Sus scrofa: one gene and its partners. The protein of the gene in region 2 interacts with the protein of the main gene of each other region in a pairwise test. Links are inferred from orthologs where the notes say so. Each region holds a gene or a part of one and is shown on either strand. Other genes may lie near its edges. The genes, in order: PRMT1, EWSR1 and MAPK1IP1L.

Evidence for each region.
Region 1: the proteins of EWSR1 (region 2) and PRMT1 interact in a two-hybrid assay, tested with the Homo sapiens proteins (2 studies listed by BioGRID and IntAct). The link is inferred for Sus scrofa from reciprocal best matches to the Homo sapiens genes EWSR1 and PRMT1.
Region 3: the proteins of EWSR1 (region 2) and MAPK1IP1L interact in binary tests that used the Homo sapiens proteins (3 or more experiments, as listed by UniProt). The link is inferred for Sus scrofa from reciprocal best matches to the Homo sapiens genes EWSR1 and MAPK1IP1L.

The regions. Positions count from the first base shown.
Region 1 is NC_010448.4:54,717,522-54,721,737, reverse strand, and holds the start of PRMT1 (protein arginine N-methyltransferase 1), read right to left. Parts: upstream 2,839-4,216; 5' UTR 2,782-2,838; coding exon 2,746-2,781; intron 1,840-2,745; exon of another isoform or gene 1,484-1,839; intron 575-1,483; coding exon 521-574; exon of another isoform or gene 218-520; coding exon of another isoform or gene 215-217; intron 1-214. UniProt on the Homo sapiens protein: Arginine methyltransferase that methylates (mono and asymmetric dimethylation) the guanidino nitrogens of arginyl residues present in proteins such as ESR1, histone H2, H3 and H4, FMR1, ILF3, HNRNPA1, HNRNPD, NFATC2IP, SUPT5H, TAF15, EWS, HABP4, SERBP1, RBM15, FOXO1, CHTOP, MAP3K5/ASK1, MICU1 and NPRL2.
Region 2 is NC_010456.5:46,415,190-46,418,825, forward strand, and holds part of EWSR1 (RNA-binding protein EWS), read left to right. Parts: intron 1-224; coding exon 225-348; intron 349-775; coding exon of another isoform or gene 776-793; intron 794-3,636. UniProt on the Homo sapiens protein: Binds to ssRNA containing the consensus sequence 5'-AGGUAA-3'. Might normally function as a transcriptional repressor. EWS-fusion-proteins (EFPS) may play a role in the tumorigenic process.
Region 3 is NC_010443.5:184,400,169-184,404,270, reverse strand, and holds the start of MAPK1IP1L (MAPK-interacting and spindle-stabilizing protein-like), read right to left. Parts: upstream 2,928-4,102; 5' UTR 2,668-2,927; intron 795-2,667; exon of another isoform or gene 669-794; intron 1-668.

The DNA of each region.
Region 1 (4,216 bases), on a different chromosome or scaffold from region 2:
CAAATCTGAGGGCTCCCCACAGACTCGAACCTCCAGGTCCCTACTTCTCCCTGGAGGAGAGAACCACCCCCAGACGGTCCCACGGCAAGCCTACAGACCCCGCTCGCCACCGTGCCTCTCCCAGGAACCCCCAAACCGAACAAGCCCTTTTGCCTTTCCAGGACCCCCCAGAGCACCATCCAGTAGAGTCCCCCAATACCTCAGCCAGGCCTACCATCTCTCCAGTCTCTCTGCCCCCGTCTCTAGCTCAGCCCACAGCAGGGGAGGGGAGGGAAGGCAGAACCCGGGCAGACACCGGTAAGGACAGAGGAGGGCTGGAAATGGAGTTAAGGAAGTAGCCGCAGTGTTCGGGGGAGGCCAGATGGGGGCCACAAACCTGGAGGGAGTTTGGGCTAAGTGTTTCGGGGGCACAGGGTAAACTGGTTTGAAGCAAGAGGGCTCAGAGTTGGGCCAGTAGGAAGGGCCTGATGTGTGATGAGGTATGTTTATGTGGGGAAGGGGCTCACGAAAGGATATTTACTTCTTCAAGAGGCGGCTGGAGGCTCATCCCATTAGCCAAGGTGGCTACAAAATTCTAGGAGAGAGTAACAGGGAGAAAGGATTAGCTACTGGGAGAGACTAGGGGAGGGCCAGGCCAGGGGACCCGGGCTCTTGGAGAAGGGGGTGTTTCCTACAATTTGGCTTTGCTTTGTGGGGAGTGTGGGAGAGGGAGTGAGCAAAGAGGGAACACTGTTCTTGAAAGGGGTGGGAGAGACAGAGGAAGAGAGGAGGGGGTTCTGTCCCTGCTGAGGCTGGAGAGATGGTGGCCTGCCCCCACGCAGCCCCTCTCGGTCGGGCAAGGCACCTGACCGTGCGCACCTCCCCCATCCAGGCCAGAGGAACTGGCACCCACTGGGCACACAGGCACTGCCAGCTGTCACTCCCCCTCATCATCTAATCCCCCCAGATTAGGTGACACTTCCTGACACACACCCGCATCCTGGGTGCCCTAAGTAGCTGGGGGAGGGGGGCTGGCAGGGTGTACCCACTGGGCATCTGCCACCACTGCAAACCAGTCTCTTGTCTGAGAGGATTCCAGAAAGGAGGTGTGGCACAAGGCACCCCCTCGAGAGCTGGCAGCCCGGCCCCTGGCTGCTGCCTTGGACTCAGCCAAGTCCCAAACAAAGCCAGTTAGAGCCAGTCGCCCTGATTATTACCCTCTGCCGGGGGAGGCCAGACCCAGGACCCTCAGCCCATCTGCCCACATTCAAACAACCGCCGCGGCAGGCCCTGAAACTCCCCAGGTGCGGGGCCAAGTCCTGGGGCAACCTCTGGGGAAGCGCTTTCCTCCACCCACACGGGCCCTGGCCCAGGAGAGAGCCGAGGGGGGCAGGAGTCATTGGAGTGACCCCTGGGAGCTCCCCTCCATTCCAGAGAGGGCTACAAGGTACCGGGCCAGAGTACAGAGGCCCCGCCGGATCGCATCTCTTCCAGATGTACCCACCCGTCAGGCTCCGAGAAGCGTGAAACCACAGACAGAAGCCCCCTGGGCTCCAAGCCCCACCTCCATTCTCCCAAACCCGTGAACACGCGGAAAAAGGAGGGCGGCCTGTGCGGGGATTTCCCGCTGGGTCCTACTTCTCAGCACCGACACCTCCGCCAGGCAGGCCCCCGGAGGGCCTGAAACTCAGCACCGGAACCAGCCTCACACGCCTGCACGAGAACCAAACCTCACGGAACACCGTTTAAGGCATCCACGCTCCGGACCCTCACACAGGGCTTCAGGAAGGGGGAGGTTTCACTCCCACCCTCACAAATGCCCTGGGGAGAGAAACGGAGCAACGTTCGCGGCCTCTAGTCCCTCAGATCCCCTTCCCAAGACAGACTCTCTCTCCCCTCGCCTGGAAGGCTCCAGCGGGGAGGTGGGCTTTGGGACACGCCCCATGAAAAAGAGGTCCCTCCCACACAGCAGAAATGGCCACAAGGGGGTGCACGACGCCTTTTCGGGAAGGACCTCCTTCTGCTAGATGCCCCCCCCCAACCAGAGGGAGGTCACAGGGGCATGCTCCACCCCCCCCCGCCAGCTCCCCAAGCCCCGGGCGGGGGAGAATCCATCGACAGGAAACTGGGGTGGGAGGGGGGCCCAGAGGGAACCAATTCGTCTTCCTCCAATCCCAATTCAAGAATGCACGAAACCTGGACCGATGCCTAAGCAGATGCCCCGCTCCCACAAAGGGTTTGTTCAGGGTCAAGATACATCGGCCCTCCCAAGAGACTCTTTACTTGGCGGAGCCCCTAAGTCAGTCCCACCCCGAGATGCTTGTCACGATCCCCGGGGAGGAGGGCAGGGGGCCTCAGAGGGAGGGTCGGAGCCTCCTCCCCGCCCCCCCTCAGGGCGCCCCTCCCCCGACCGGGGGCGGGGCCTTTGTCCCGCACGTGGAGGCCGCCCGGCCGGCGGGCACGGCACACCCCCTCCCCACCCACCGCGCTGCGGCCACGTGGGGACCAGGCCGGAAGCGCCCCCAGCCCTTCTCATCGTGGGAGGGGGCACGAGACCCTCGATTCTAGGGGGTGCCACAGGCGCTCGAAAGCTAGGGAACCCGCACCTCAAACGGCATCCCGGATCCGGAGCATGCGGCGCCCCCTCCGTACGACTAAAGGATTTCAACCCCAATCCGGCGACTCAGAGCCCCTTCCCCACGACGGAGGCATAAAACGCTGACCCTCAAACTGCCCCCCGCCCCCGACGGCGCTCCAGGCGCTCACCTCCATGATGCAGTTCGCGGCCTCGGCTGCCGCCATCTTCACCCGCACCTACTCCTCCTCCGGCCGCCGAGACCCCCCCCTTCTCCGCACTCCCCCGGGACCGCCTTATACCGGAGGGTCCACGGCCCGCCCACCGCGACCCCGCCAGGAGATCTCATTGGTAACGGAGGTGACCCGTCTGGGAATACCGCTTTGCAATTGGGCTAAAAAGACGCCCATCAAAATTGAGGAGACCGCCCAGTCTGGCGTCCAGAACCCCGCCCCTTTAGGTCGACCGGGATGGGAGGGACTGCCTGTCTATCGCAAGAAGTGCGACAGGTGATTGGGCAAAGTCAACAGGGAGTTCCCGCCCCTTTCCCCTCAGCACCGCCTTCAAGCTTCCCGGCGGACCCCGCGCCAAGCGGACATCTTGAAACAGAGCAGTCTATCACAAAAATGACCCGCCTCTTGATGGCTGCTATTGGTTTATCAGCTGTTGTGACGTCACGAAGCTTTTGGCCGGCCTCAAGGAGAACGTGACGATTGGCCCACGAAAAAGGAAGGCAGGGCTTTAGGCTCCAGCGATTGGCTCAATAGAACTGTCAGTCATCGCCCTTTTGATGGCTTCTCCCAGCCGGAGGGGCGGGCACTCAGGAGGAACGAAGGAGCTTGTGCCCATTTTCCTGAAGGAAAACTGACCCAACGAGAGGCCCAAAGAGAGGGAGTTCATGTCTGGGGTCCCGAAACAAATCAGGAATGGGGCTCGGGCGTCAAGGTATTTAACCCCTGGCCCGCTACTTAATTGTTCCATGTTTTTTAAACCCAGTGACCCCACTCAAGCCACTTTGCTTTTTGCCAAGTCCACCCCTGCAGGTAACACACGCCCCCTTTTTCTGTCCAACTCCTTTGTCAGTCAGGGCGCCCTTTAGCTGCCACCTCCTCCAGGGAGCCTTCCTAAACCTGCAGGAAAATTACGTACTGAATGAAGATGAGTGCCACTGGCAGAATATATGCATCACCCCAGAAAGTTCTTTCATGACCTTTTCTATTCAACATCTCCCCACCCAACCCCAGAAACCATCACTTTCTGTGTTGTCACCGTCACGCATCTTTTCCATGTCTAAAATTTCGTAAAAATGATAAAAACATTTTTGTAAAAATGTAATTACAGTATGTACACAAGTGTTTGTCTTCTTTTACTGAGCATAATGCTGTTGAGAATCATTCATGTCACACCTAGCAGTTGTCCAGTCCTTTTCATGGCTGAGGAGTAGTCCATTGAATCCATGGGTTACATTTTCCTCTTGATGGGTATGTGGGTATGTGGGTGGTTTCCAGGATAGGGCTGTTAGGAATAGAGTGGCTGTGAACCATCATGACCAAGGCTTTCTCTGGATCTATGTTTTCCCTTTTCCTGGGTAAACTGAGAACACAGCTGGGTCATATGCTAGGTGTATCTTTCTAAGAAACTGCCAAAGTTCCCCTCTGTATT
Region 2 (3,636 bases):
TTTGTTTTTTACAGCCACACATGAGGCATAATGGAAGTTCCCAGGCTAGGGGTCGAGTTGGAGCTGCAGCTTGCAGCAACACCAGATCCTCAGCGAGGCCAGGTATCAAACCTGTGTCTGTGTCCTCACAGACGCTGTGTTGGGTTCTTAATCTGCTAAGCCACAGCGGAATCTGCTAAGGAACTCCCTGTATGAAGTTCTTGAATCCTTTTTTCTTTGAGCAGGCGTATGGGCAACAAAGTTATGGAACTTATGGACAGCCCACTGATGTCAGCTATACGCAGGCTCAGACCACTGCGACCTATGGGCAGACTGCCTATGCAACTTCTTATGGACAGCCTCCCACTGGTAAGACTCTGGAGAGACTTTTGGACCATGTTAGCTAGGGTGTTTGCTTAAAAGCTTGTTACTTGTGCTTTGGGGTATATATTCTGATCAATACCCTGGCATCTGGGAATCCTTTATTAAGAGGAGTGGGGTTGGGGTTTTTCGTTTTTTTTTTTTTTTCCTTTTCTTTTACCTTGGGGGATCTCTAATAGAATGTGGGTGGGATAGAGTCCAAGGGAAAAAAGATCTTTTCCTTCTAACTGTTTTATACAGTGTATTGAATAATCTCACAACATAATGAAGAATATATAAAAGATTGTGCTAATGCTAGTGCTGGGAAAGAATGAGCTTTCTTAAACTGAGCTGCTTAAAAATCAAACCAATTTTCCCATCTGTTTGCTTCATCTGATAGTGTGCCCTCTACTTTTTTGTTTTGTGCTTTCCACAGTAGAAGGGACCAGTACAGGTTTGACTATCCTGCTCATTCTTGCATGGGAAATGCTTTCCATCTTGTCTAACCCTGTAATGTTAATTATTTAGGTGTTTTCATTTGTTTAACCCTCAAATATTCTAACATCACACACAACAAGGTGCTAATGGAAAACTGCTTTAGGTGCCATTTGCAGATCCATGTCCTTTTTTCTTTATGTGATTTTGGGAAAGGTTTTGCTTTGTTTTATTTTACATTATTTTGTGTCAGGCCCTAACAATAGTTGTTCACTTTCCCAAAGGTATTTCAGATGATTACTCCCCTATTCCCTGAAGGATAGATTGCATGATTAGATTTATTTAGAGGAACAGATTGCCACCCTGCATGTATTATGTTTGTCTGTAAATGTTTCGGTCCAGACACATTTTATTTTCTCAGTGTTGATTCTTTTAATCCATAGTATGTCTTAAATATATATAAAAACATTTCAGGGAGCTTTAAAAAAAAAAAAGAAAAAACTAAGAATTAGAATAAACTTTATCCTAATACTGGGGTTGAAGTGGAGTGTGTGAAAATTTTATGTAACTTTTTGGCTGCAGTTGTGACATGTGAAAGTTCCCAGGGCAGGCATTGGACCTGTGCTGCAGTTTCAGCCTGTGCTATAACTATGGCACTGCCAGATCCTTATCCAGCTGCAGTATACGGGAAATTCACAATTTTTACATAACTTTTTTTAGGTTCAGGGCTATGTAACATTCAGAATCCTTACTTCTCCCCGCCACCTACTCCTAACATCGTCATCATTATCATTGTTAAAATATTTAGGAGTTCCCATCGTGGCTCAGCAGAAACAAATCCTACTAGGAACCATGTGGTTTGCGGATTTGATCCCTGGCCTCGTTCAGTGGGTTAAGGATCCGGCATTGCCGTGAGCTGTGGTGTAGGTAGCAGATGAGGCTCAGATCCCACCTTGCTGTGGCTTTGGCGTAGGCCAGCGGCTATAGCTCTGTTTCAACCCCTAGCCTGGGAACCTCCATATGGCACAGGTGCGGACCTAAGAGGCAAAAAAAGAAAAAAAAAAAAAAGTACTTGATACAAAAGTCTTAAGGATGTAAAACCTTTTATTAAAGTCATTGATAGGGAGAAACATCTGTAATTTATCTTTTGCGTGGCGTCTTTCATTTGATGGGAAGTACTTCCTAATCTACCTAATTAATGCATATTATTGAATAGGTTGGGAAATGTTTAAACATTCTATGAGTGTTAGTTGGCAACTATAGAAAAAGCTGGAACTGAAATTAAAGGGTTTGTATTTTCAGCACAGAATTTTGAAATTGTGAGATAAACTTTACATAGTGAAGCTGTTAAATCTTTAATGAGATGTAATGGACATGTAACATTAGTTTCAGGTGTAAAACATAATGATTCTGTGTGTATATTGTGAAATGATCTCCATAATAAGTCTAGTTAACATGAATCACCATGCATCATCCTTTTGATGAGAACTTAAGATCTACTCTCTTAGCAACTCTGTACAATGCAGTATGGTTAACTGTAGTCACCTTGCTGTGCATTACGTCCCCAGGACTGATTTATAATGAAGTTTTGTATCTTTTTGACCACCTTAACCCATTTAAAAAAGTATCTCAAATTAAATAAAACAGCTTAAGTCTAGTCTTTGGATCATTTTTATAGTAACGTGATAAAGTCATTTGTAGGAAACCGTTTTCTAAGTTCTATAGAGCCATCTATTCGCTTTGTCATTGAAAAAGTCCCATCATGACTGGTCACAAAAAGTGTAGGACATTCTAGTACAGAAACTGGTAGTTTGGATGAGCAAGAAATTGTACTTAATAAGGAATGTTAATAGAGACTTTATAGTTTATGGAGGACCCTTCATAGCTCCCCTAATTCTCTCATGAACTTTTGGAATATAGAAACTAATATTAAACCTGGTGAGCAAATTGGGGCTGAACCAGACTACGTAGGACTTAATAGTAAGAGTAGGTTCAAGAGCAGTTAGTAATTTTTTCTTTATTTCACACTGTCTTTACATATAAAATTTATTGGAGGATTCCCATTGTGGCTCAGCGGGAACAAACCTGGCTAGTATCCGTGAGGATGTGGGTTCGACCCCTGGCCTTTCTCTTTGGGTTAAGGATCTGTCATTGCTGTGAGCTGTGGTATAGGTTGCAGATGTGGCTTAGATCCTGCATGGCTGTTGCTGTGGCATAGGCTGGCAGCCGCAGTTCCAATTTGACCACTACTCTGGGAACTTAAATATACCACAAGTGCAGCCCTAAAAAGCAAAGAAAGAGAAAAAAAGGTTATTGGATAATTATTGGAAGACATATATAAAAAGACTATTTTAGAATATTTTGAAATTACACTTCGTGAGAAGGAGACTATACAAAGCTCAGTTCGTTAAGCTTTTAGAATGAGTTTTTGCTATTCAGGTTGAGTAAAAATTTTAGTTGGTTTGTGTGATGTTTCTTAGTACCTTTTTCCTTGAATTTATCAACACAGTAGGTGTGTTGTCTTTTTGCTTTTGGTCTTTTTTTAATTGTAATTAAATCATTCTGCCCTGTTAATTTTTGCTCATTTTGCTTGGCTGCTTAATGGGTACTACAATTAATTAAAATATTATTAACTGAATCTCTTGCTGTATAGCACTACAAGGCTTTGTTGCTGAGTATTTTTATGAGTTCCCTTATTAAGTTTTGGTTTTTTTTTTTTTTTTTTTTTTAGTCTTGTACATCTTATAGGTGGCCTATTATGTAGGGAAAAAAATCTTTGTAGGAGTAATAGGGTGGGTAGACTAGATTCCAGTTAAATTTAAATAAATGAGTGCTTTATATGGTTGACATTAAGGACTTTGC
Region 3 (4,102 bases), on a different chromosome or scaffold from region 2:
TGAATCTGTTGACAAAGGCAAGCTTTTTAACCAGAGACCATTTTCTCATCAGCAAAACAGTTGTAATTCTTGACCACATGTTAGTAAAATATCTAATAATCTGTAACATGTTATAAAGAAGTAAGATATTTATTAAGAATCACTAAGAGAGAGCAGGATTTTTGCACTGTTTTGTTTAGTATGGGGACGAGAGGATAATGGTAATATAGTGTACTGAGAAAAAATATATATATATATTTTTACTATTTTAGGGCCACACCCATGGCATATGGAGGTTCCCAGGCTAGGGGTCAAATTGGAGCTACAGCTGCCGGCCCACCCCACAACCACAGCAATGAAGGATCCAAGCTGGTCTGTGACCTATACCACAGTTCATGGCAATGCCAGATTCTTAACCTGCTGAGCGAGGCCAGGGATTGAACCCACAATCTCATGGTTCCTAGTCAGATTTGTTTCTGTTGCTCTACAACAGGAACTTTCGTGGAAATGTATTTTTTGAATTAGCATATCTGAAAGTTGTGTTAGCTTTTATCAGATAAGCTCTGTATTTAGGCAACTCCAGAAATTAGGGATTTGCAACATTTCAGACACTTTAAGTTACTTAAAAACATATAATTAAAAAATAATATTTCCAGCAACCTCACATCAGCCATATTTTCTACATTCAGATACTTATTGGAACATATGTGCCAGGTACTGTGTTGGGCCTTGGGGAAATGAACATGGAATAAAGGCTTGAAGTGCTGCTGGTCTGTCAGAGATCTAGCATCTAAACAGAAGCTACCTGACCGCAGGTAAGCACAGGGCACTATGGGGGTACCCTGAAGAGCTCCCAAAGGAGTCAAGGCAAGGGTATCAGGGGAGGAATCCTGAGGAGTGGTGCCTGTGCAGTCTGGAAGAACAATGAGGAAAGAGCTGGGAGTAGGGGATGGTGGGACAGGCTCTAGGGAGAGGAGAAGTCTGCAAAAGCTGCAAGAGATGAAAGAGAGATGTGGGAAGGACATGTAAGCAGTTCAGAATGGTGGGAATATAGAGAGGGGAAGACGTAAGCCTTAGCAGTATCCAGACCAAGGTGCGAATGTCTGTCAGCTCATCTGAATGAACCTGTTACTTCAACTAAAAGAATGGGCTGGTAATGTGACAGACTAAATGGGACTGGTAAATCCAGTGCCTATAACAAAAGTGCTTGGAAAATATACTATCTTGCGTTCCGTGGTACATGGGCGAATTCCATATGGTTAAAACACCAGAAGTATGACTGACTAGATAACATTGCAGTTCTCCCCTGGCAGGTTCTGGACAAGCTGAACTTTGCAAACCTAAGAGGTGAAAGCAGACTGGAATAGCGCCCACTCTCACTCAGATTTATTGAGACCTGCATAATAAACACACCTCTTGGTCACTGTCTGGCACACAGCAAAACTCAGCTTTTACAACTGCTACCATAGGTCCACAAACCTTATCTGTAGTTCTCAATTCAGAAACCTCTAAAAATGAAAGAAATGCTCCCAAGTTCGGTGTACACCTTACTTGGTGGCAAAAATCTGACCTGACGTTATTTCTCATTTTCATTAATTCCTACCTATATCTGCACAAATGTTAATAATGGATTAGGGTGCTGCCCAGACTCTGCTGGAGTGATCTCTCATCTATGCACCTTATTGTCTTTCTAAATTCTAAAGATAAAAATCCAAAGATTTCTGAATTCCAAAACATACTGATCCCAAAGATTTCGATTAGGCGATTGGCTCTGTTCCTCCTGGAAAGAGGAGAAGAACACGCCGGTATATACAAGTTGGAGACAACCTAGTTATGACCAGGAGGTTCAGAAATGCCAGCAGCAAGGAAAATTTCTATTCTTCCTGCCCCATGAACACTCCTGAACAAAAGAACTTTTGTAAGATTTCTTAAGGCTACCTTCGCATGTAATGAGAGTTAGTTTTCAAAACAGGCGCTCAGAACCACTAGGTGTCTGAGTGTGTATTTCTTTACTAGCAATGCTAGAAACTTTTTTCCGGTCAGGTGGGTACGGTTTGATTCTTCAACAGTAGAATCTATATTTATTAAAAGTATTACTCTTGGTTTTTAAAAGAAAACGGTCCAAAGCTACCAAGCGCTCCTAAATCCTAAAAATGGGGAGTATTACAAAACTGAGGACTTCTCATAGTTTCTGTCACGGGTGTTCCTCTAATTGCTTTCAATTGCTCTAGAAATACCGACCAGAATGTTACACTGCGAATAATCTCAATTAGCTCCAAGGACGCCTCCAAGAATCGGGCCTGCCTCTCCCTTTCAGTAGAAGTAATGAATGAGGGAGGCGGGCTGGGCCAAGGGGCTCGAGGCCCGCAGCCCTTTAGGGCCAGACGAACAAAAGGAGTCCGGGATCAACCGGAGCTAACCGGCTAGCGAGCGGGTCGTGCCCGCCCGGGAAGGGATGGGGGAGGGGTCGTGCCCGCCCGGGAAGGGGTGGGGGAGGGGCCAGGCCCGCTCCCCGCCCCGCCCCCCAGCCAAGCCTGACGTCAAGCACGGAGAAACCCGTCCCGAGCGACGTCACCCGCCTCCCACACCTCCTCCCGGGGGGCGATCCGGAGATCAGCCCGCTGCCGGGAGCAGGATGACGGGGGGAAAGCCTTAGCCCTCCATCCCCCAAGAAGCTACTCCAGTCACCTCCGTTACCGCTCCCGCCTCCCGCTTGGGCGTGATCCCTCGCTCTCCTCCACGATTCCGCTAGTGCCCAAGCAGTCTCACCCGACAAGATCCGAGCCCGCGGAAAGGTCTAGAAGTGGCGATGGGTCCGCAGGAACTTGGCGCTGAAGAACCGAGCGCAACCCTACTGACGGCAGCGGCGACGGCGGCGGGGGCGGCAGCACCAGCAGCACCAGCAGCGCGCGGCTCCTCCTGGCGCCGGAACAGGAAGCGTCGAGCTCCGAGCGCGTAGCCCCCGCCCGCGCTCCGCCTTCCCTCGGGTCGGCTCGGCTGGGTCGGGCCGGCCGCGCGCGCCCCCTAGAGGGGCCCGGTAGCACTGCGGCCGTCCAGGCCCCCGCGGCCCCCTGCCCCTTGTGCTTGCCCTAGGGCGGCTCTTTCCTCCAGTTGGGCTAGAGGAAAGCTCTGGGTTTTCCGGAGTTTTGGGCAATCTGGAGGAAACGCTAGGGGCCGGTGACGTTCTGAGCAGTCTGGCTGAAATTGCTAACTTGTCTCCTGGAGAGGCTTGAAGGCAGGTTCTGGATTCCCTACAGCTGGTGGTCTCTAGAGCCACAGCTGGCTAGGTGTGAAAGCAGCCTAATCTCTGGACATGGATCATTTGACCAAAACTGGGGAGAGCTAAAGCAACCATACGGGAAGGGGAAGACAAAAAAAATTTTGTTTATAAATAGCTTGACAAATTGATACTAACTACAGAAACAACGGATGTCTTTGTAGATTTTTCTCATTTAGTATTGTCCTTACTTTTTTTTTTTTGCCACGCCTGGCATGTGGAAGTTCCTGGGCCAGGGGTAGAACCTGCTGAGCCAGAGCAGCGACCTAAGCAGCAGCATTGACAATGCCGGTTCCTTAACCCGCTGCTACGCGGAGAGTCTCACTCCACTTGTCCACTTTCGAATATACCTTTAAATACCTACTCTGTCACACCCAAAAGATGATTGACACGTGGCCCCACCATCAAGGAACCTGCTAGCTAGCTGGTAATGAAGATTACCAGCTATATATAGCTATGTGGTATATATATATATAGCTATGTGGTAATAATTTTGCATAACTATGGGCAAAACACATATAAAACGTACATGTATTTTACATGTAAAAATTACAAGTATGCGATATTTTTACAACTTTTTGCTTCTTTGCGTAAGATGTTGAAGGGACATTTTACTGTAAATTTCTTTTCTTTTCTTTTTTTTTTTTTTTTTTTTTGTCTTTTTGCCTTTTCTAGGGCGGCTCCCGCGGCATGTGGAGGTTCCCAGGCTAGGGGTCGAATCGGAGCTGTAGCCGCCGGCCTACACCACAGCTACAGCAATGCGGGGGCCTATACCACAGCCATAGCAATGCGGGATCCGAGCCGCGTCCGCAACCTACACCACAGCTCATGGCAACGCCGGATCAT